Oreochromis niloticus: one gene and its partners. The protein of the gene in region 3 interacts with the protein of the main gene of each other region in a pairwise test. Links are inferred from orthologs where the notes say so. Each region holds a gene or a part of one and is shown on either strand. Other genes may lie near its edges.

Evidence for each region. The genes of interacting proteins can lie anywhere in the genome.
Region 1: the proteins of tsen54 (region 3) and tsen2 interact in a two-hybrid assay, tested with the Homo sapiens proteins (2 studies listed by BioGRID and IntAct). The two-hybrid records come from large-scale screens. The link is inferred for Oreochromis niloticus from reciprocal best matches to the Homo sapiens genes TSEN54 and TSEN2.
Region 2: the proteins of tsen54 (region 3) and clp1 interact in binary tests that used the Homo sapiens proteins (3 or more experiments, as listed by UniProt). The link is inferred for Oreochromis niloticus from reciprocal best matches to the Homo sapiens genes TSEN54 and CLP1.

The regions. Positions count from the first base shown.
Region 1 is NC_031970.2:1,298,363-1,305,809, forward strand, and holds the start of tsen2 (tRNA-splicing endonuclease subunit Sen2), read right to left. Parts: upstream 3,148-7,447; 5' UTR 2,949-3,147; coding exon 2,784-2,948; intron 1-2,783. Other genes in the region: MKRN2 opposite strand protein, read right to left, coding at 7,341-7,447.
Region 2 is NC_031966.2:22,597,536-22,605,529, forward strand, and holds the start of clp1 (polyribonucleotide 5'-hydroxyl-kinase Clp1), read right to left. Parts: upstream 3,148-7,994; 5' UTR 2,977-3,147; intron 2,129-2,976; 5' UTR 2,079-2,128; coding exon 1,806-2,078; intron 1,661-1,805; coding exon 1,553-1,660; intron 1,461-1,552; coding exon 1,341-1,460; intron 1-1,340. UniProt on the Homo sapiens protein: Polynucleotide kinase that can phosphorylate the 5'-hydroxyl groups of double-stranded RNA (dsRNA), single-stranded RNA (ssRNA), double-stranded DNA (dsDNA) and double-stranded DNA:RNA hybrids. dsRNA is phosphorylated more efficiently than dsDNA, and the RNA component of a DNA:RNA hybrid is phosphorylated more efficiently than the DNA component.
Region 3 is NC_031969.2:32,227,533-32,235,431, forward strand, and holds the start of tsen54 (tRNA-splicing endonuclease subunit Sen54), read right to left. Parts: upstream 3,114-7,899; 5' UTR 2,988-3,113; coding exon 2,872-2,987; intron 1-2,871.

The sequences.
Region 1 (7,447 bases), on a different chromosome or scaffold from region 3:
CCAGTGTTTTCAGTGTGGGAGAAAGTACTCAGGGCCTTCAAGTTACACACTATGAAAGGCAGCAACAAGTTTAATATTCAGAAACCTAAAGTATGTATCAGCAGCAGAATGGAGCTAAAAATAAATGTTTGTTTCAGTTCTATGAAGCTTTGAGTATTTTGGATTAGTAGCACTGCTGTGTTTGTTGCGTCATATTGCTGTAATTGTTTATATGCTTTATATATTCTGAGCTAAGTTGATCTATAGTGTTACATCATATTCTATAAGGATGTTATGTGTTTGTAGACTTTCTGCCCAGTTTGACCCATTTAGCAGAAGTCAGCCTGTTTAAGGCTCTGATATCTATTCTGTATGACTTAAAGCAGTTATGACATGGTCTGATTTTCTCACCCAATAAAGGAATATTTAATATATCAGTCTACTCTTCATTTTATCAGACACAGTTATCACAGCTCGTACATTTTGTTTTTCCACATATATGTAAGCACTGAGCTAAATTTAGTAATGTCAACATATTAAACGAACAATGTTTGTCTCTTATATATAATACATCTGTATATACACTGTCAGAGATACTTGTCTTTGAGTGAAGATTTAAGGAATAGGTAATATAAATAACAGCAACTTGAATCTTTGACCCAGAGTTCAAGCTCACTGCTGTAATATATCCTGTAAAAAAATATATTAAAAAAATAATATATGTATATATATATATATATATATATATGTATATATATATATATATATATATATATATATATATATATATATATATATACATATCATAATAATCTGACAATACATATAATATTGGCCATATTATATTTACATTACCACAGTGAGATGATTTTAGTCTCATGAACAACATTAGCTAATTGTTATTTACTAACTAATCTTGAAATGACTGTTCAGTACAGAAATGAAGCCCAACAATCATGTTTCACAGTCCTGTGGTCTCAGCCTCAGATACTCAACTAATCAAAGTGATGTCATGACAAAAATGATTGACCAACAAAACATTTTTTCTCCTTCATTTATGTCACACAAAGCTGTATGTAACGTTTCTCGCGGTTAGTATCATGGTTGCTAGGCAACCTGAACAGCGCTACGAAGGCTAGACCGTCCCATTTCACAAGCCTCTCACTTCCGCACTTCTTGTACTTATATTACGCACCGTACGTAGTACGTGTAGTGCGCGTACTTCAAGCGTGCGGTCTCTTAATTGGGACACAGCCTAATATACAGCACACGGTGGAGTAGTTACAGCGTTTGTACGTCCTCCACAGTGAAAACGACAAAGTTTTACAGGTTAGAGTGAAAAATGTCTATCATGTATATTTAATCTCTGTAATAATCTGGACATTTATCATTGAGCTATTTGTTTATATAGTGCTATTTCATATTTTTTGTAACTTTGTAATATATTGTATTTAATTTATATATTTAATTTAGTTCAGTCTGTTACTCTTCTTACTCTTATTAATAAAGGATTCTGATTTAGTCATAAGTGTATCAGCAAATTGCTCAGTGAGGTCAGAGCACCGGTTTGACAGCTGTCGCCCCCTGGAGGCCGTCTGAAAGACTGCAGCTTTACCTGAAGCTCCGCCTTCTTTATACTGTCACACTGGCACCCTGGGATGTAGAGTCCAATTAGATTATCAATAATCCAGATCAGTAAGGGTGCCAGCGCCGTGCTGGCAGCCATCTGTAGCCGTGGATATAAGTACAGGTGAGTGTAAGGAGGTCGTGGCACCTTTATGGACACTAGTATTTAAATCCAGCATTAAAGTGCAGGACGCTGCGGCAGGACTCTCCTGTTTATTTCCTTCTTCCTCTTGTCTGAATGTTGAACACTGACGTCCTAACGGCTTTATGATTGGAGGACAGTGTGAGCGTCAGGGTAGTTATCAAAGTGAGCAATGGGGTTTTACTGCAGGATTCTAACCCTAACGGCTAACACAAGATGTGACGTCAAATTGTGCGCTCGACACCAGGACCGGCGACTTGGTGAAACTCTGTTGTTAGTGATCTGACCCTCTACCACTGGATCCTGCTGTTTCCCCTATCTAAAGAAGAAAAACACCCGTGACAAACCAACTCTGTTTCAGAAAGACAGAACTTGTGTCCCAGTGGCCAGTGCTCACTGGAATAACTAATTATACTGGGACCTGGAGTGGAAGAAAATTTGGACCTTATCATCGAAACTCCAGTTAACCAACAAAGTAAAGAAAATATCTTTGAAAATCATTCATCGTTTTGACCCCACCAGAACTTTTCTTGTACGATATAAAAAAAGACTGATGTTAACTGTTCATTTTGTTTCCTGTCAGAATGAAGAGATTGCTCACGTGTCTTTGTCCTGTTTATCTACTTTATCTTTCCTGGTGGGATTTCTGTGCCTTTGTTGTTTCGTTGATCTATTCTGACCGCTCTCTCTGTTATGGAAAAATAATGTTTGGCTTTTTTGACCCTGGAAATAAAGCAAACGAAGTTTATTTGATTAATTTACTAATCTTACTGGCTAAATCTCAATCCAAATTTTCTAATGCAAACCAGGCAATATGTTACAACATTCCCATAAAGCTGCTTGTTTGATATGTTGTTTCAGCCCCAGTCTGTGTCTAACGGCCGCTACACGAACCCCGTGACCGTCTGTGCCCGTGTAATTCTACTAATAAAGTTAAAAAAAAGAAAAAGAAAAAAAAGGCTGTTCTGATTCTCACGCGCGGCTGTTAGCTCTGTAGAAGATGGGAGGGGCTCGGGTGAGGTGGGTGTGGTCAGACCTGGTCGTGGATCTTCTGGCTGTGTTCCGGATCACAGACCAGCACGTGCTCATTGAGGAGCTCCGCCCGGAAGTGACTCCTCTCGCGCGGGCTGAGCGGCAGCGGAGCCTCGAGCTCCTCCGTGACCCGGAGGCGGCGCCGGGGAGCCCGGAAGTCCGCGTGCATGCTCCCTGGTGTCGAACCGGGCTGGCACTGCGGGTCTGGCACTGCTAGCTGTTAGCCTCCGCGCGGTTCGTTTTGCTGTGGCGTCACCGAATCTGTGTCCGACTGGAACTGTCGATCTTCTCCGTGTAGTTCCACCTCCAGTTCTTCTTCTTCTTTTCCCGTAACCCGTTACCGCCCCCTGCGGGCTCCTGTGTGTCATCCTAAATCTGACGAACACTTCCTGTCAGGCTAAAAACGGAAGCTGTGCCTTCGGTAATGAATTCATCCATTCACGCTGCCAGCACCACCTGTGTGGATGCACTCCATCCATCTGCCACTAAAAGCCTCTGAAACAGGGGCGGATCTACGGGGTGGCATGAGGTAGCACCCTAAAATAATCTCTTGCCACCCCTACTGCCTCCTTGGCTTTGCATGTGATAATGTTGTTTATTAAAATAAGTTAGCATTAACACTTTAAGCCTAGCTACAAGTTCACACTAAATATAAATTGTAACACATATTATATTGTATAGTGTCACCCCCGCCCACATCTGTGCCGGAGCACATTTTGAGCAACACCATGGGCATTTCAGATTTCAAACAGGTGGTGTGATGATGAAGGTGAGCGCTATTAACCCTGTGTGTGCTGCGCCTCCAAATCACATGACTGATTTAAGCCGATATAGCTACAAGCTGCAGCCACGCTGAGTCGCTGTTTCAGCTTGTGTTGAAAGTTCAGACTCCAAACTATATATTTGTAAATTTTATTGACAGGCTACTAAAACCAGAGTTATGATTAAAAAAATTATATACACGATGCTTTTTTTTTAATCATAAAAATGCGTTTTCTAAGGACAGCACAAAAAATAAAAGGAAAAAAAAGCCACCAATGTACCAAAAAAATAAAAATAAAAATATGGCAACACGTGGGATTGGTTCATTTAGGAGGAGGGGGAAGTGTTGGAGCAACGGTGGTGAGAGAGAGAGAGGGATATGGACAGCGAGTCTTAAGTTGTGAGAGATTTGTGACGTTTCTCGTGTTTGGAGTGTGTAGTTAGTGTGTTGTGTAGTCATTTGTTTTGTTTTGTGTGTCAGTGAGGGCACTAATGAACGTCACAAAGGCAGACTGCAGTGTAAACGCTGGCTCCAGGACGAGTGATCCACTTCCTGTTGTTAGACCTGCAGGTTTATCCCTGTGGGGTTCTCCTCTGTCTTGTGGTGGACAAACTATTTTTTGCACTGTGGGGCATCTTATTGTGTCACCTGATTGTTCTTTAATTTTAGTTTTAGTAGTATTCTTAAAAGGTTATACAAAAATCACCAGATGCATTGGCTGCATTTTTAGGTCAAAAGTTGTGTATAACTTTATTGTTTATCAAATTTTTGCACGAGTTTTTAAAATAAAATGAACTTTTTCCTACTTGGTTTTTATGTTCTTGTGTGATTTCAGATGAGTTGTATTAATACAGCATGCCAATGAAAAACTAACTGTGAATTCAGACCTTGTGCTGAAAAGAAAAAGGAAATAAAATAAGGCGAGAAAAAATGAATAGTAATAAATATAAAATCAAACATAGTTAAAAATGAGCTGTTGTATCCTGGAGCCCAGCGGGTTAACCCAACGAATCCTGAAAAATTAGGTTTAAATTTTTGGTGAAAAATGTTTCATGACGTGCACATTTCTGACATTTTGTGTAAAATTAACTTGATTATTTGTAATAAAAAGAGTGAAACTGAAGTTAGACTTGTGTTTGTAGCTGAACCATGTTTTGTAGCTTTCTGGATTTTATACTTATTGGGCTGCAAACATATTTATTAAACAGGCTATACAGTACATATATGATGCATATTAGAGAATGTAACACCTACATATGTGTAAATGGCTTTGGTTTCCACGCCAGCCTAGCCGTGCCCCTGCTCTGATAGCATTTTGATTGGTCTGCACTGAATCACAGAAACACCTGAGACCTCAAAGTGTGAAAATCATTCATAGTAAATGTGAGAGCTCAGAGTCAAAGCAGCAAAACTCATTTGTTACTTCAGGAGTTTGAACAACGATACAAATAAAACTTTTTCTGAATAAATACCTGAATATGTGTTGTGTATGTAACACAGCCGTGGTTACCAAAACAAAGTTTTACTTCTGCTTCAGCCGAGAGTCGAACACAGGTCAGTCACAGGCAGTGTTGGTCAAGTTACTTGAAAATAGAAATTAGTTACTATTTACTGATTACTTCTCCAAGAAAGTAATCCCTTTACTTTGCTGATTACTTATTTTCAAAAGTAATTAGTTACTTTATTACTTAGTTACTTTTTAAAAACATGATACAAACCTGAATATGTAATAAAGCAACAGACCTTTCAGCCCAATTCTATTTTTCTGCATAATCCATCATATACAATGGAATCAAATGAAAAAGTCTCTTTTTAAAACTTGTTTTATTTGTTTTAATCTTTTTAATTTTATGCACAACATTAAATTATATTGACTTGAAGAAATATGTTTAACATTTATACCTATTCTGCATATTCCAGCATATAAAATAAAATCATGTTTTGTGTTTACACTCACTCTTTGAAATAGATGCATGTAAAACACAGCAGATTCAGCAGCACTGAGTCCTGTCGCTCTTAAATCTATTGTTCAGCAGGAGTGGGGCGGGTGGAGGTTTGCCCACAGCAGTCATGTCAGTGGGGGGATCCGGGGCTTTCTCTGTGAACGTCACATTCCCGTGGCAGCGTGCTCGGTGCTCGCTCAAATTTAGAAAGAAGTTTTCTTCCCACACAGAGTGCACAGCGGACACTAATGTTTCTGTCACTTTTTACAGAATCAAACTCAAAGTAATGTGAGTACTTCCACGCTTTAAAGGCTGCATGGTCACACTCTCTCCATCACTCCATTGTTGATCTGCACACGTCTGTTGCTGCCACTGAAGCCGCACGCTCGTACGTCATTGTCATGAGACACAAACAAACAAAATCACGGTTTAGTATTGCAGTAATGCAGCGTGCTTACGGGAAGGTAACAGTAATCTAATTACTTTTTTGCAATAGTAATCCCTTACTTTACTCAATCCCTTACATGAAAAAAGTAATCGGATTACTTCAGATTACATATTACTTACTTACTACAAGTTACTGCCCATCTCTACACATTTTAATGCACATGAAGGTGAAACGCTGCGTTCACGGGCCGATAGAAGAACTGGGATTTATAATCAGTGTTAATAATCACTGTTCTTGCACACACTACAATCGTCATGGCGATGACCCACCCGCCACATTCTGCCCCCGAGGGTGAAAACCTGCAGCTCCACGGCAGGAAACAGCAGAGAGCTGCAGGAAGTGCGATTTAAGAAACTTTATTTCAGAATAAAATAAAAGTTGTAATTTCCTCTGAGACCCTCGGTGTGGCTCAGGGACAACAAAAGGTCAAAGTTCACACAACTAACGCTAGGGCTGTTTGATATAACGATATATATCGGATGACGATATAAAAACGTCTATCGTTTCATTTTACGCTATCGTTTGTTTCGTGGTGTCGCAAAATAAACTGTTTACGGCAATATTTTTTCATCATTTTGATGGTCACTGTAGTGGCTATATGAATTTCTTAAAGTTCTGTCTTTCTCTTATATTTAATATAACCACACTACAGACAGACAAGCGCCTGTTTTTATGGGTTGTCGTTAGCAACAACAACGGTAAAACCACGGCATGTCCGCTTGTTTATTTTCCACATAAACCTTTCACAATAAAGCTCAAGATCCTGTTGAGACTTTTCAAAATAAACTGAATCACATGAAAGATGCAGAGTATTTACGGATGAGAAGCAAAAAAAGAGCCGTCAGGTGCTAAAAAAAATAAACCTTAGACTCAAACGTTAGAACAGGCTTTTCCCCGCAGCACGCTGTGTAATAAATACTCACAAAGAAAACGGCGGCCGTTACAACTTATGTCTAAAAATGTATCGTTTCATGCATCAGTTAAAACACTTGACTCCAGGTCCATGACGCCCAGCTGGAAACACTTCACGCAAGTCGAGCTGCCCGAGATTCACAGAATTTACAGAAAATGTTACATTTTTGTGATTTATATCGTTATCGGACGATAGATGTCTTAATATCGGGATATGAGATTTTGGTCATATCGCACAGCCCTAACTAACGCGCTAAAGAAAGAAGGTCAGATGGAGGACGAGCAGCCTCACACACACAGACATGAACCAAAGCTGAGCTCACTACATGAAACAGAGCTGTGTGTGTGTGTGTGTGTGTGTGTGTGAAGGTGAGTTCATTGCACATCAGGTCTGACACTGAAGCGTCACATGTGACCGATGACACACTAACACGGACTCCATTCTGGTCGTGGGTCCGACTAAGTGGTCACAGACACAGTGGGTGAGGCTGGTCTCTAGCTGCTGGGCTCCGCCCCCTGAGCGTGCTGCTGTCGATCCACCGTGTAGAACTGGTGTTTCTGGATGTGCCTGTACAGCGTGGTGTATTTGGACACCCTCCTCA
Region 2 (7,994 bases), on a different chromosome or scaffold from region 3:
ATGTTTCAGATTAAACAAATTTTAATATTAGACTAAGGTAACCTGAGTAAATTGAAAAAAACAAAACAAAAAACAAACAAACAAACAACAAAAAAAAAAACCACTTAAATGATGATTTCATTTATTAAGGGAAAAAAAGCTATCTAAACTTACCTGTGTGAAAAAGTAATCTGCTCCCTTATTGAATCATAAACTGAATCACTAACTATGATTAACCACATTTTCTGGAAAGCTGAGCTCAATTTTACTAGCCACACCCAGGTATGATTACTACAAGACCTGTTGAATCAAGAAATACAGATCCTGTATGACAACGTGAAGTGGGCTAAAAGCAATACATTATGCTATGATCTAAAAGAACAGTTGTGAAACAAACTGACTTCCATGGGAGAGTTCAAACGAGAAAACCACTGCTAACAAAAAATAAAGCAAAGGCTCATCTCACATTTGGCAGAAAACAACTTAATAATCCCCAAGACCTGTGGACTAATGAGATAAAAACTGGAACTATTTTGATCAGCAGTCAAACATGGTGGTGGTAGTATGATAGTCTAGGGTGCTGTAATTCATGGAACCTCTATGCTCTCTATGAGAAAATCCTGAAGGAGGGTGTCTATCAGTTCAAGTGCACTTAGCTTATGCAGCAGGATAATGACACAAAACATGCCACCACGTCCACCTCTGAATTAAAGATTTTGGTGTGGCTTACTTAAAGCCTGGACTTAAATCAAATTGAGATGCTTGGAAACCCTCCAGTGTGGATAAATTAAAACTATTCTGCAAAGAAAAGTCATCCACAATTCCTCCAAAGTGATGTGAAAGTTATTCGCAGTTATTACAAACCTAAGTATTTTCTAAGTATTTTCCTGGAAATGATGGCACAACCAGTCACTAGATTTAAGGAGCAAATATGTTTTTCACACAAGGCCAGGAAGGTTTGGATAGTTTTTCCCTTAAATAAATGAAGGGAGCAATTCAGTGCTCTCAATTCTGTGCAGAAATCTTTATGTTCTGACGTTTATTGCAATAACTTGAATTAACACCAGTGACAGTAAACAACTGAAAGACTAATGTTCTTTTTCTTTGTACAGATATTAAAACAGACACCAGGATTTTTTTCCAGAACTTGTGAATCTGATAAAACAGAAAAAGCCACATGGACAGATCAACAGGGGGATCATCACAGCTATAAAGCTAAATAAACAAAGTAGATGCTGTACATGCTTTAGCATTACTTTGGACAAAATCAAGACAAACTGAGTCTGCAGGCTGTAATATGCAATATTCTAAATACCAGCCAACTGTTTGATATTTATAATGATAATTCCACTTGATCTTACCCCGCTCTGTCCAACATCCAGTTCCACGAATGTTGGCCTCCTTCCAACCCTCACAGCATAGCTGAGAAGCATCCGACACACCGTTGACTTCCCAACATCTGTCGGTCCCACCACCATCACCTGAGGGTCGATTTATTATTTAGTATTAATCCAAGAAGTATTCATGGGATCTGACAAGTTCCTGAATGAAGTAGTTCCCCAGTCAAACGTACCCTTGGTCCTCTCTCATTGTCACGCTCTGCTTGTTTTCTCATCTGTTCAAGGGCTGCATGTGTGTTTAGGTAGAGCAGCATGGGTGTATCCTTGGACACATAAGCAACCTGCGATGGTGACAGCAAGACGATGGTTATTTGTGGCTTTGCCTTTTTTACCCAAAGTAAAACACACAATGATGTGACAAAACGTAACACAACAGACACATTTGAACTTTCCCAAATCTGCAAGGATTCCCATCCACATGCTTACCTCTGGCTTCCCATAAAGATTCACACTGCAGCCTTGCCAAGTGAAAACCGCAATCTTGGAGCCTGGTCCAAATGTATACTTTTTGTTTCGGTTTAGCTCGGAGCCAAACACCTCAGCCATTCCTGTGAGGAGCTCCAGTTCAACTTGTTCAGCTGCTTCCCCCGACTCCACCTCAAAGCGAAGTTCAGTCTCCTTTTCCAGGTCATACCTGGTGCTGGCCTTTCCAGCTGCTGGAGCATCTTCACTCGTCTTTTCCACCCCCTCTGTTGCCATGACTGTCAACAAGAAACTTCAGGTTGCAATAACTTGGCAGAAGTAGCATGCTGAAAAGCAAAAGTTACATGCATACCATACATAAAGTAGTAATACGACAAAACATTACACACAGCTTCTCTAATAAAGCAATGCTTAAAGGAAAGTGTGTTAACACAGATGTTTATTAAGTATTTACAAATTAAAGTCACAAGCTAACTACTGAAGTCCCATAACTTTTTAATAACACTAATTTTAACTCTAGCATTACCCTTCACATTATTTTAAATTTGGTGTTTGAACATTGTATGCATAAAGGATAAACTTGACCACACAGAGTAACAGATCCAATTGTTTAAATATTGTGCTCGGTGTTTTCCGGCAGGATTATTCAATGTCAGATCACGACATTTTTTGAACATTTTCTGCTTGACCATTTTCGATTTCCCTGAAAGTTTTATGGTCCAAAGTTGGTCCATATATTTTCACATATTAATTCTTTGAAAAGGGTTTTCTATATATGAGACTATAAGTTCACAGCAATAATATAATATAACAAAACTTTGGACCGTAAGATTTTTATGCAACTCGATGTAGTCCAGCAGAAGGCCCACGATAATTTGAAATGGAAGGACACTTCAGTGATTTTGTCCTAAAACCACGGCGGTGGGATTAATCTTGGCTACCTGATAAGCCAAATTGCAAAAACACACCTGATTACGGACAATGATAGGTTCAAATAAAGTTAAGAGGGAAACCAGTTAAATCAACAAACCAGCTAGCGGAGCCACCGGGGGTAATTCGACCTTTCTAAGACTAGCAAAGGTCGAATGACTGCTTACAAACCCGTTAGATAATTCTCGCAACGTCAAGCAAAAGTCTAAAACGTAATAATTTGTAATATATAAAAGTTACGCACCAATTTCAAGACTTGTTGTAGAAAGAAATCGGTCCCGTGCTCATGAGGAACCGTTGAAGTGTCTGGTCGCGTGATAATGACGTCACATCCTGGCAACTATTAAAACAAAATGTTCGTTTGCCAAAAACGGAAGACTTTGAATCCTTTTTGTGTGTCTGCTATCCTTGCTTATATTGATATAAAAAACAAAACAAAATTTCGCAAACACTTAGCAGACGATCACTTTTTGGGTGTCATTGTGTGACGTCCTCACAACGCGACGTGTTTATATTAGTTTTGCACGTGTGACACAAAATTCATTATAGCATCTACTTTGTGACAGGAATGTTTTTCTACAAGAACTTTACTATGAAATGGGAAAATTCTGTATTTTGTTTCTTTCGAAGGCAAAAAATGAGGATGTATACTTTATAATAAACCTGTTAGTTATCTTAGCTAAATTTTATTTCCACAAATGCAAATACAACCTAATTTTAAACAGTACTATAATGATAGTCTATCTTACATAAAATTGATTAGTGGTTCACTTAATAAAAAGGCTATAAAAACAATTATTATTTGTACTAATTAAAAATTATCTGAATGTATGTAACGTTTTACATTACACCCCCTGGCATATGTTAATTATGTTTCAATTTGTATACACTCTCTGTATACTGTTGCTTAATAAAGTTCTATTAAAAAATTGGGGTGGGGGATTTGGGATGGCTTGATTTCATTCACACAAGAGACGCTTGACAGATAATAGATTACACAGATTAACAAATCTTCTTTCATTTCGCCACAACGGATTGTGTCTCTATCTCACTCTATCCCTAGCATTCTCCATGGTCACGCAAATCCTCTGCATGTCTTCCTTCACTACCTTCTCTGTGGTCTTGCTCTTTCCTCCTGCTTGGAAATTCCAGATTGAACATACTTTATCCAATGTACCCATTTCACATGTTCAAACCATCTCAGCCTTTCCTCTTTAACTTTGTCTCCAATCTGCTCAACCTCAACTGTTCTTCTGATATACTAATTTCTAAAGTCCAACAAGTGTTTTAAAACTGTTTAAATACCTGCAACCATTTTTAGCAAATATTTGCAATCACGTTTTGGCAATTACTTTTTTGCATAACACTACCAGAGCCCTCAAATTACTAATTAAGGGCACTGCTTGGGTTAATGCAATTAGACAACCTTCTGAAATATGCTACAAGGTACTTTGTCAGCTGTTTAAAACTATTAACCATTTCAATTAGTAAAATTTACTTTATTTGCCAAGAGTTCAACACACAAAATGCATCTCTAGTTTTCTTCTCCACACTTCCTGAATTTAAATAAGAAAAACTTTCCATAAAACAGATGAGTGTTTGGATAGACTTATAACAAAATACACACAATTACCAAAAAAAGATTTTATTTCTCAAAAAACAAAACAGACATAAAACCACTACTGAACTTTTGTGAAACAACAGTAAACAGCAGTAATGTGTCAGAGAAATGCTTTGGCTCAGCTAAGCTCCACTAGGTGTCACCGTGCACCCAGAAGATGGCAGCAGTTAGAGCATGGCTCATCAGAGGAGGGACTGAGAACATCTCCTTGGTCACTTCTCGTCATTTTTGCTTCCACTGGCTGCATCTCCAGAATGCTGGGCTGCAAATAATATGGGAAACGTTTTGTTAAAAAGACACTTGTACGCAACTGTTGTTCACTGAATAGCTGCATTACAATTCATACTGAAGACATTTTGACTTGATTCTCTTTACAGGGCTACATAAGTTAGCAGTTTAATGTGAAGAAAAAGTAAAGTTGCATTTTCTTATTTTGTATCTGTTTGTTTTATGCATTCATTATTCAGTCAAACTGCTTTGCCAAACCTTCACTGGGTGTCTAAGCCTTCAGAGCCTCCTGCAGAGCAGAAACTACCACTTCAGGCTGTGGAAACTTCAGCTTACGAGGTGGGCCCTTCTTTATTCCAGTCCACAGAGATGTTTCTTTAGGAATCGGGAAGAAAGTGTCATTTGTATCATTATTTTACACTGAAGGATCCATATTGCTGAGTAAGCGTGTTTACCTTTGCCCCCGTCCTGCAGAGTGATCTCGAAGCTGTTCCTGCGAGGTTTCTCAGGGTTGAGGACCACAGTCAGTTCAGGGCAGGCAGCCAGGAGGGCGGATTTCACCTCCTCAGCATTACGCCCGTACACTCGTCAGCTTTTACTGCCAGAAGTGAGACATCAAGATTACACCTTGTTGCAGATTTAAATAGTTGAGTTACAAAGTGAACTGTGATGTTATCCATTTTGCTTCTGGTTTAATAATAATATAAACAGATTTCATGAGAACCATTGTTTTTTTTCCACCTAATCAATACATTCACCTCTGATACTTAAACACTTGGATTTTTATTTGTGATTAAGTATTTTAAAACAACGGCTATATTTACTCACTTTACATAAAAGCAATTAGCATTTCCTTCACCACTGATTATAATGTGATTAAAAAAAAATACCAGTGTTCAATGACCACCCTGAGGCCTTCCTGGCTGCTTTCATCGTCTCCTCTGCCCTTCTTTTCCTCCACTGAAGGTTTCTCCTCCTCTACCTGAACTTCTGCTTTGCGCTTCTTCCCACCACGACCTAAAAACACACATGTGTAGTTTTGTGTTTGGCTATTTCTTGAATTTGTGTCTCCATATCTCATTTATCCTCTGTCCTTTTGACCATGACCCAGAATTCAATCAGACCGCACAATACTGAATGGAAAATTTCTAAAAACATCAATAGGACAGAGAAGAGAGTAGCCTGCACAAGAAGCTACATTTCAGGACTCAAGGGTGTATCTGTAGTGGCAGCTTGTCGAAAAGTGAAATTCAAAATTCACAATCAAAAGGCCAGTGATGCACAATGTGCAAGTAAAGTATGTAGAAGAAAAAAGAAGTCAATTTCCCAAAAGAAAAAATACATGCAGTTCATCGATTTACTTGATCCTTTGCAAGCAGCTGGCTCCTGTTGCTTCCTTTGCCATGGTTAAATAAAACCATAGGCCCTCCCTGGTGCATGCTGGTCCTATGCCCGCCCACCTACTTATTTAGCCTGAGGTGTCTTTGGCCTTACTAGAGTCTTACAAAAGCCCAAAATAAAGCAATCATCCATCCACCATTCCATCCATCTTCTTCTGCTTATTCAATTCAGGATTGCAGCTGGGTGTGAGACTCCCAGCTCAAATAGGGCGACAGGGAGTTTACACTGTGGGCAGATCGCCAGTTTGTCACAGGACTCAAGATGAACTAAACAACACAACCATTAAACAACGAACCACTACATAGCTCCAACAGTAATCTTTTCAAAGGTTTAAACAGCTGGAAAATACAAACCATGGTGGGAAAAGAGCTCCTTAAACAACTAGTTCTTTCTGTTTAGGTTACATGAGATGGTCACTGAATTGAAATAACGGAAGCCCTAAATACACAAAGATGCAATTACCACCGTTACATTAGAGGTCTTACAATACAGCAGTACAAAATAATTTCGGATGCAGCTGTGCTACATGTCATATTTAATGTATAGCATAATAAAATGAAGAAAAGAGTTCTGTTTTATAAATGCCCAATGCTCCAACTCCTCCTGTCATGCCCTTGGTGGGAGGAGAGTGAGTAGAGGAGGACTCAGGCACGTGCAGGCTGAGAAGTTTCATAACCCAACAGATAGTAATAATAATGACCCATTTAATGCGTCGTTGCATAATAAACATGGTCAGAAAGGTCAGCGCGCCGACTCCTGCTAGATTTAACGAGTTCAGAAAGTGAATAATGTACATATCTTCGCAGTTACTACTTTGCTCCTGCATGTAGCCATTCAGCTAAATGACCTACAAAGACAGGCAGAAACAGTCATGGGAATGATAACCGCTGCATCAAAATGGTACAACCCTCTTCCTCCTCAGTATATCAACCGGAGACAAACTCCGTTACAGCTTTTGTTGTAGAAAAAAAATCACGGTATTGTTTACATTCCTATAACACACACCCACCTGCTTTGGACGCCATTGCTGTTACAAAACTTTGGCGCGCGCATGTCGACTGTACCAATATATCTGGGAAGGGGGTTTCAGTTTGGCTGGACGAAACCATTAATGGGAAGTTTTCCGAGCATGAATGAAAATAAGATCTACCGTTATTATTTCTAATGTCATAAATGTGTTAATATAACTACTGTAATTTAACTAAAACTGCATTTAAAGTGCAAATACAAACCTTTTGTTAAACACCTACAGCAATAAAGTGTTCTTTCATTATCTTTGTAAGTAGCTATATACATATATACATGAACAGGAACATGTTTTTTTTGTATGGTGACACACTTAAGCATATACAGTTAAAGCAGTGAATGCGTGTTACCTGATTTAAAGGGTTATGCGTGTTGCTGCCTGAGTAAATTAAACATGTTTTTGTGTTTATCTCTGTCCTGCTGATTTACATTTAGGAAAAGGTCAAAAGTGCAACACAGTGATGTGGTGGTTACCACTGTTGCTTTGCAGAATGAATGTCCAGTCTTTGATTCAAGCAGTCTTCAGCCTCTTCCCAAAGTCCAAAAACATGCATTGGGTTAAGTTAATTAGACTAACTGGCGATTCTAAATTGGCTGTAGGTGTAAATGTGAATATTAATGGTTGACTGTTTCTCCATTTTAGCCCTGCGATAGATTGGTGATCTCTAAAGGGTGTACCCTACCTCTTGACCAAGGACAACTGGGATGGGCTTCAGACCCCCTGTGACCCATAATAAAGAAAGTGGATGGATAGAAAAACCATCATTTATTGTTGTATCAAGTCATCCAGTTGAGCACAGAAAAAAATCATTCTTGCATAAAACAATAAGTCTTTGGCTAGGGTAAGTAATAAATCTAAAACGTAACTAAGAAAATCTCTAATTTACCAAAACAAATATAAAAGCATCATTAGCATCATTATGCTCCACCAGATGACCTCATGCGTCCAGAAGATGTCAGCAGTTGGCACTTGACTCATCAGAGAA
Region 3 (7,899 bases):
GACGTGGCTGTAACCAGGTCACAGGGGCAGATCAAACCAAAGCCCTTCATTCTTCATTCAGTATGGAGGAAAAACTCATCACTGCCGTGGCTAATCACCCAGAGCTGTATGATGCCAGCTGCTACTTCTACCGAGACAGGAATAAAAAGGACCGAGCTTGGAGGCACAGAAGTGAGGAGATCGGGCAACCTGGTAAGTTCATTCATTCTCCTTTTTAATTTTCAGACTGACCCGATAAAGCCGCGCAAAAGGTAGCAAGCCCGCCTACTGTCCCGCTATTTTCCCACTGATGTACAAATACCTTTCCGCTAACAAGATAATGTGTTTATTCAGAGGACACTGAATAAACACTGATGTGTTTATGACGCCGGAGTTCATATTTTCCAACTCCAGCGGTTGGCGCGGTACGGGTGTGTGCACAAAATGCAACACACAATCTGACACGCATGGTTTTCTTCGCGAGTCAAACGCGCCCCACGCAGTACACTGACGCGCGTTTTACGGGTTTTGGCGTTTTCGCGACGCAAATCTGCTTCCGCATGTTCGCCGGATGCGCAATCGCGTGTCATCGCGCTCTTTCCATTGACTTTACATGTACACCTGACGCTCTGGCCGCCTCTATCGCGTTCGGTGTGTGCGCACCGTAACGGTGCGTTCACACCGAACGCCGATTGGCGCGAGCGAAAACGCCCCAAATTTGACGCGTGCACATTCGCACCTCAATGTGTGTCCAAGAAAAATCCATCGCGCGTCAAAATTGCATATTTTGACGCGCGTGAACTGGAAATGTGGGAGGAAGTTTTATTATGCTGTGCTTTTTCTCCGTCTGCGCGCCACTTTCGTGCGCCTTTTTCCCTCGCGGTGCAGGTGTGTATCTCCGAATGAGGGTCATAGTTATGAGTGTTTTTGTGCTGTTTTTTCTATTGGACGTGATGGTTATCAAAACCAAACATGATAAGTTTGGCAAGCGCAGGAGACACAGCACGGAGGAGATTTGTCAATCAGGCTGCAGAATGCAATGCGCATTGTTGAAAGCTGTACGGTGCAATAACAAAAATCAGCGAAATGTGACGGGTGAACAGCGGGACCACTGTATACTGTTTTATTAATAAACAAAATATATTCCTATATGACAACACGCATAAATTAACTGCCTACATTAATTCACTGTAAACCTTGTCCTTCTGACTGACACTCCCCTGCTGCCTCTCCGGGCTGTCCCTGGTCCTCGGGGGGGGAAGTTCTCCACGGTCCGCACCATATTGCCGCTAGTCTCCCGCGGGGTGAGGAAGGGGTCCAGAAACCCCATGACCGCGAAGAACTTCCATCTCTTCCCCGATCCTGCTGCAGACCCACTCCTCTTCTCCTTATTATATGTGTCCCTGAGGCTCTTCCACTTTCTCCTGCAGATGTCCTCTGAATAAACACATTATCTTGTTGGCGGAAAGGTATTTGTACATCAGTGGGAAAATAGCGGGACAGTGCGCGTCAGTACCTAGGTCACAGCCACATCACCAGCCTCCTGATTGGTTGTTGCGGCGCGATTTGACGCCGGAGTTCAGATTTTCCAACTCCAGCGGTTGGCGCGATACGCACGTGTGCACAAAATGCAACACACAATCTGACACGCGTGGTTTTCTTCGCGAGCCAAACGCGCCCCACGTGGTACACTGACGCGCGTTTCAGGCGTTTCAGGCGTTTTCGCGACGCAAATCTGCTTCCGAATTTTCACCGGACGCGCAATCGCGTGTCATCGCGCTCTTTCCACTGACTTTACATGTAAACCTGACGCTCTGGCCGCCTCTATCGCGTGAACGCACCGTAACACCAGTTTTACAACATGCTGGCTGCCTGCTAGTTTGTGCAATGACTTTAGAATCCTTTTAGCTGTTTTTAAGGCACTTCTTAGTCTCTGTACATCATATTTGTCTCACATGGTGCCAGGCTACGAATCATGACAGGCCCGTGGGTCCCAAAAAGCAGCTTTTAGCTTTTATTTTGTGTACATTACATTGCTAAGAACTGCATGTTACTTGTTTCGCTGTCTAATTTGTTCCGTTTCTGTTTCTCAGTTATCTGAAGCATTTTGAGCTGCACAGGTTGTTGTAGTTTATTTGTGTTTCATTTAACTAAAGTGATTTTTCTTGCCCACGTTCAGTTCATACCTGAGTTTTAGGTAACTGTAAAACTTGTTTATCTTTCTAGCAAAGCTGCATCGATGTGAAAGATTATCATGACAAGAAAGCAGCAGTCCCCAAGTTACTGGCATACTTTCCAGGCTTTGCATGTTGGTGTATAACGTTAGTATCACTTATGAAGTCCATCTGCGTGTAATTAAAGTGCCATCCTGAGTCATAAAGTCGTGACTCAGTGCCACGGGATCTCGCCCAGACTTGTTTTAAAAGGACTCCACCCTGATGCTTTGTCTGTGTGCAGAAAAACAAAAACAGCAGACTTCCAAAAAATATTTTACTGTTACTTAATTCCTAACTTTCCTAATGCTTTCTCTCTCTCCCACGGCTGTTTTTACCAAAACACACAACAGAGGGAGACAGAGAGCCGAATACAGAGTGTCAATATTTCAGAAAACGTGTCCAGATAATATTTCAGTAACAGTGTTTCTCTGGAAACAGCTGTGCAGCTTCGTCAGTGCGTTTTAATGAAACTATAGGCGTTTTCTCTTCAGCACGTATTCGCGTTGAAGATAACAATTAGCTTTAAACTAACCCGTGCTACCATGTGCACAAGAACTCTGAGAGTTCCGACCACAGTGATTCAATGACAAACAGACGCTGAGGGAGAACACCAGAGAAAATACCGCTACCCTGCGAATAAGCCCGCTCACAGGTACCGTTAAAGGTAAAAACACACCTTAAAATTTCACTGTAGAACTTCCCTTTATCGTCTGTGTTGTTTTGATCCGCCATGATGCCGGGTCTCCCTGCTACTGCAGCGCTCCTCTGGGTCCTAGTGACCGTCATATTCATCAGTTATAAAGTGGCCATCAGAGGGCGCCAAAGGGCTTAAAAATAAAGCACAGTTTAAAATCAGGGAAGGTTTTTTTTTTCCAGAATACTTGATTTGTTCAGGCCAAAACAAACCAAAGGGTCCCACAAGAAGGCAGAAAATTGGATCAGGCATAAATACTCTCTCTCTCTCTCCCTCTTGGTATGTGTGCTTATGCTTATTGCTCTGTGTGTGTGTGTGTGCTTATGCTTATTGCTGTGTGTGTGTGTGTGTGTGTGTCTACTTACCCTGCCTTACCTTACAGGGCGAGAATGCTGGTGGGATCTCTGCCCTCTCCCTGACACACCTGAAGCAAAACACCTGCAAAACATCTGGCAAACAGCTGACTATGCTGGGATGTGACATTCAGTCTTTGCCTGAGCTTTGTTTCACTGTGGCAGGTATCTTCTTGCTTGTTGCTTATCTGAAAAACTGGATTTTGACTACTCAGTCTTGTGTGCATTAATCTTATTATAATCTTGTTTTGTCTTCCATGGAATTTTATATATTTAATATTTTAATAGTTTGATATTTGTGTTATCATGTGTGTTTCTGTGTGTGTTGACCTCAAACTTTTGCTGCTGTACGTGACAATTTCTTTAACATCTAACCTTGAAACATGTTTATTTTTTGCTCAACAGATGTTTGCTTTCTACAAATCTGTCTGTTACTGTCTGTTGCTGGAAACAGTGGCATTCATCCCTATTTTGGTTTGTTTGCCCATTTGACATGTGATATGATCCAGTCCTGCCAGTAAATAATGCAGCCCACTTCAAGCTACCAATCAAAGTCCTTGTACAGGGCATCAGGAAGCAAGTCTTGCCAGTTGATGCCATTTGGCAATTCACCCTGGCAGTTAATTCATGTACACCCTTTTGAAATGAAACAGGAGAGAGCTTTAACCTGGAAATGACAGGCGAAATCCGAACAAACTATTCAAAATATTTGGAAAAACGACTTCAAGATAAAATTTAAAACACTTGTGTCTCCCAAGAAAAGAAGCCAATACATTTGTGTGTAATGTGTTTTTCTTCCTAAAGGTCAGCAGGGGGCTGCTGCTTTCTGCAGTAGATTGCCTGCTCACCCACCAAGCCAAACGTGTGCCCAGGTAGCGTTAATTCTAAATTAACTCCACTCAAGTTCTCTACCAGTCAAAAGTTTAGACACACCTTCTTTTCATGACTATTTACATTGTAAATTTTCACTGAAGGCTTAAAACTGTGAATGAGCATATATGGAATTATATAGTAAACAAAAAAGTGTGAAATAACTCATAACACGTTTTATATTTCAGATTCATCAAAATAGCCACCCTTCGCTTTGATTACTGTTTTGCACACTCCTTCACCTGAAATGGTTTTCCAACAGTCCTGAATGAGTTCCCAGAGATGCTGAGCACTTGTTGGCTCGTTTGCCTTCACTCTGTGGTCCATCTCATCCCAAACCATCTCAACTGAGTTTAGGTCAGGTGACTGTGGAGGCCAGGCCATCTGACGCAGCCCTCCATCACTCTCCTTCTTGGTCAAATAGCCCTCACACAGCCTGGAGGTGTGTTTGGGGTCATTGTGCTATTGAAAAATAAATGATGGTCCAACTAAACGTAAACTGGATCTGTTGGCATGTCACTGCAGGATGCTGTTGTAGCCATGCTGGATCAGTGTGCCTTCAACTTTGAATAAACCCCCACTAGTGTCACCAACAAAGCACCCCTACACCATCACACCTCCTCCTCCATGCTTCACGATGGGAACCATGCATGTAGAGACCATCTGTTTACCTTTTCTGTGTTGCACAAAGACACGGGTGGAACCAAAGATCTCAAATTTGGTTCATCAGACCAAAGCACAGATTTCCACTGGTCTAATGTCCATTCCTTGTGTTTCTTGGCCCAAACAAATCTCTTCTGCTTGTTGCTTTTCCTTAGTCGTGGTTTCTTAGCAGCTATTTGAGCATAAAGGCCTGATGTAGAGATGTGTCTGCTACTGGAACTCTATGTGGAACTGGGGACACATTCAAAGTTTTAGCAATTTTCTGAACTGACTGACTTTCAGTTCTTTAAGTAATGAAGGACTGTCATTTTTCTTTACTTAGCTGCCTGGTTCTTGCCATATGAATTCTGACAGTTGTCAAATAGGGCTGTCAGCTACCAACCTGACTTCTGCACAACGGAACCTATGGCGTAACCTCATTAAGAAGGCAAGAAATTCCACGAATGAACCCTGACAAGGCACAGCTGTGAAGTGAAACCATTTCAAGTAACTACATCATGGAGCTCATTTAGACAAGGCCAAGGGTTTGCAGCACTGTCAACAAAGCAAAGGGTGGAATCTAAAATATAAAACATATTTAGAGTTATTTATCATTTTTTGTCTTTGCTACATAATTACATATATCTATGTTCCATATATAGTCAAACTTATATATACACCGTTAGTACATAAGATACACCATGTCTTTTTCTCTCTCTCCCTCTTGGTATGTGTGCTTATTGCTCTGTGTGTGTGTGTCTACTTACCCTGCTTTACCTTACAGGGCGAGAATGCTGGTGGGATCTCTGCCCTCTCCCTGACACACCTGAAGCAAAACACCTGCAAAACATCTGGCAAACAGCTGACTATGCTGGGATGTGACATTCAGTCTTTGCCTGAGCTTTGTTTCACTGTGGTAGAGATCTCCTCACTGATCTGCACGTCGTGGTCCTTGTTGTCATCACAAAGATTTCTAATGTGTCTTGTCCTCTGTTTAAGACATCCCAGTGGTTCCCATCAGTTTTGGAAACGCTCCTTTGTTGGATTTTGTAAATAAGAAGCTTTTGAACTAAAAACTGCTGAAAGACTGTAAATAGCACAACCCTCACCTGCATTATAACTAAATCTCTAAACTTGCACTACTGAGTTTTGCGTTTGAGTCTGACCAGACAGATCCAAATCCATTTTATTTATGTAGCACATTTAAAAACAGAAAGTTAGCCTAAAGTGCTGTACAGAAACAAAGGGGTAAAACACAAGATAAAAAACACTGACACTCACATAAACACATAATAATACACATAATAAACATTAGACTTGTAGTCAAGACCGCCTAAACCAAGACCAAGACAATACCAAGACCAGAGGGTATCGAGACCAAGACAGACCGAGTCAAGACCAAGACAAAGTCGAGACGAGACCGAGACAAAAAAAGTCTTTAAACTGCAGCCAGATGCTGCCTCGTTTACGGGTGTCAGGCATATTTATGTGTTTTTGCGATGCACTCACACAGCCCTCCTCACCGCTGTCTACTGGCTGACTCACGTACTGAGAGGACAGACGCACGCTCCACTTGACTGTCGCGTCCATCACCCTCTCTGTTTTTCACATAATGATATTATCCTATATCCTTGCATGTGATTGGCCACAATATGGAGGGATTGGAGCACAGCTGAGCCACTGTGTGAGAGCTGAGCAGCCAAAGGAAATTAAGTGAGGAGCCGGCTCTCGCTCAATGGGAGTCGACACTTCTGATTCATTACAAAGCGCTCTCTAAGCACGGCTCTTAGAGCTGATGCTTTGCGCATGACACATTATCGAACGTTACGTTGTGTGTCATGGATACTGTTGACTCCAAATCTCCCGACCACTATGTTGATCTGAGACAACAAGACTGAGACAGCGAGACCAAGACAAGACCGAGACCATGTAAAAGTGGTCTCGAGACCGGTCTCAAGACCAAGAAGGGTCTTGAGACATCCAACTCTAATAAACATATCAACTCACACCAGTCTAAACGCTATCGAAAAAAGGTGAGTTTTCAAAAGTGACTTGAAAACTGGAATGAAGATGCCTGTCTAATATTTAAAGGCAGCATATTCCAAAGTCTGGGAGCCATAATTGAAAAGGCTCATTCTCCTCTACGCTTTAGCCTAGATTTTGGGACAACCAACAGCAGCTCATCTGATCTGAGGGTCCGCGAAGGAATATATGGCTGAAGTAACTCGGAAAGGTATGGGAGAGCAAGATCATTTAGGCATTTCTAAACCAGCGTTAGGATTTTAAAATTAATTCTGTCATGAACAGGAAGCCAATGAAGAGAGGACAGGATAGGTGTTACATGTTCATGCCTGCAGGTACCAGTTAAGAGGCAGGCAGCAGCATTTTGAATGAGCTGAAGACGTGCAATAGATGTTTGGCCGACTCCAACATAAAGTGCATTACAATAGTCAAGCCGAGTTGAAATAAAAGCATGTATTACCTTCTCCATGTCACGTCTTGACAAAACTGGCTTCAGCTTTGCTATTTGTCTCAACTGGAAAAAGCTCTTTTGCAACACAGAACAAATATGTTTGTTCTGTATTGATCGTGACAATCAGCTTTCTTCTATGAAGTAATTAAAGCCTAGAATATGCTTCCAAAAATGTAAAAATTTGAACAGATCATCATAACTTCTTTCACGACCTGAAAAGCTGGATTTTGACTACTCAGTCCTGTGTGCATTAATCTTATTATAATTTTGTTTTGTCTTCCATGGAATTTTATATGTTTAATATTTTAATAGTTTGATATTTGTGTTATCATGTGTGTTTCTGTGTGTGTTGACCTCAAACTTTTGCTGCTGTACGTGACAATTTCTTTAACATCTAACCTTGAAACATGTTTATTTTTTGCTCAACAGATGTTTGCTTTCTACAAATCTGTCTGTTACTGTCTGTTGCTGGAAACAGTGGCATTCATCCCTATTTTGGTTTGTTTGCCCATTTGACATGTGATATGATCCAGTCCTGCCAGTAAATAATGCAGCCCACTTCAAGCTACCAATCAAAGTCCTTGTACAGGGCATCAGGAAGCAAGTCTTGCCAGTTGATGCCATTTGGCAATTCACCCTGGCAGTTAATTCATGTACACCCTTTTGAAATGA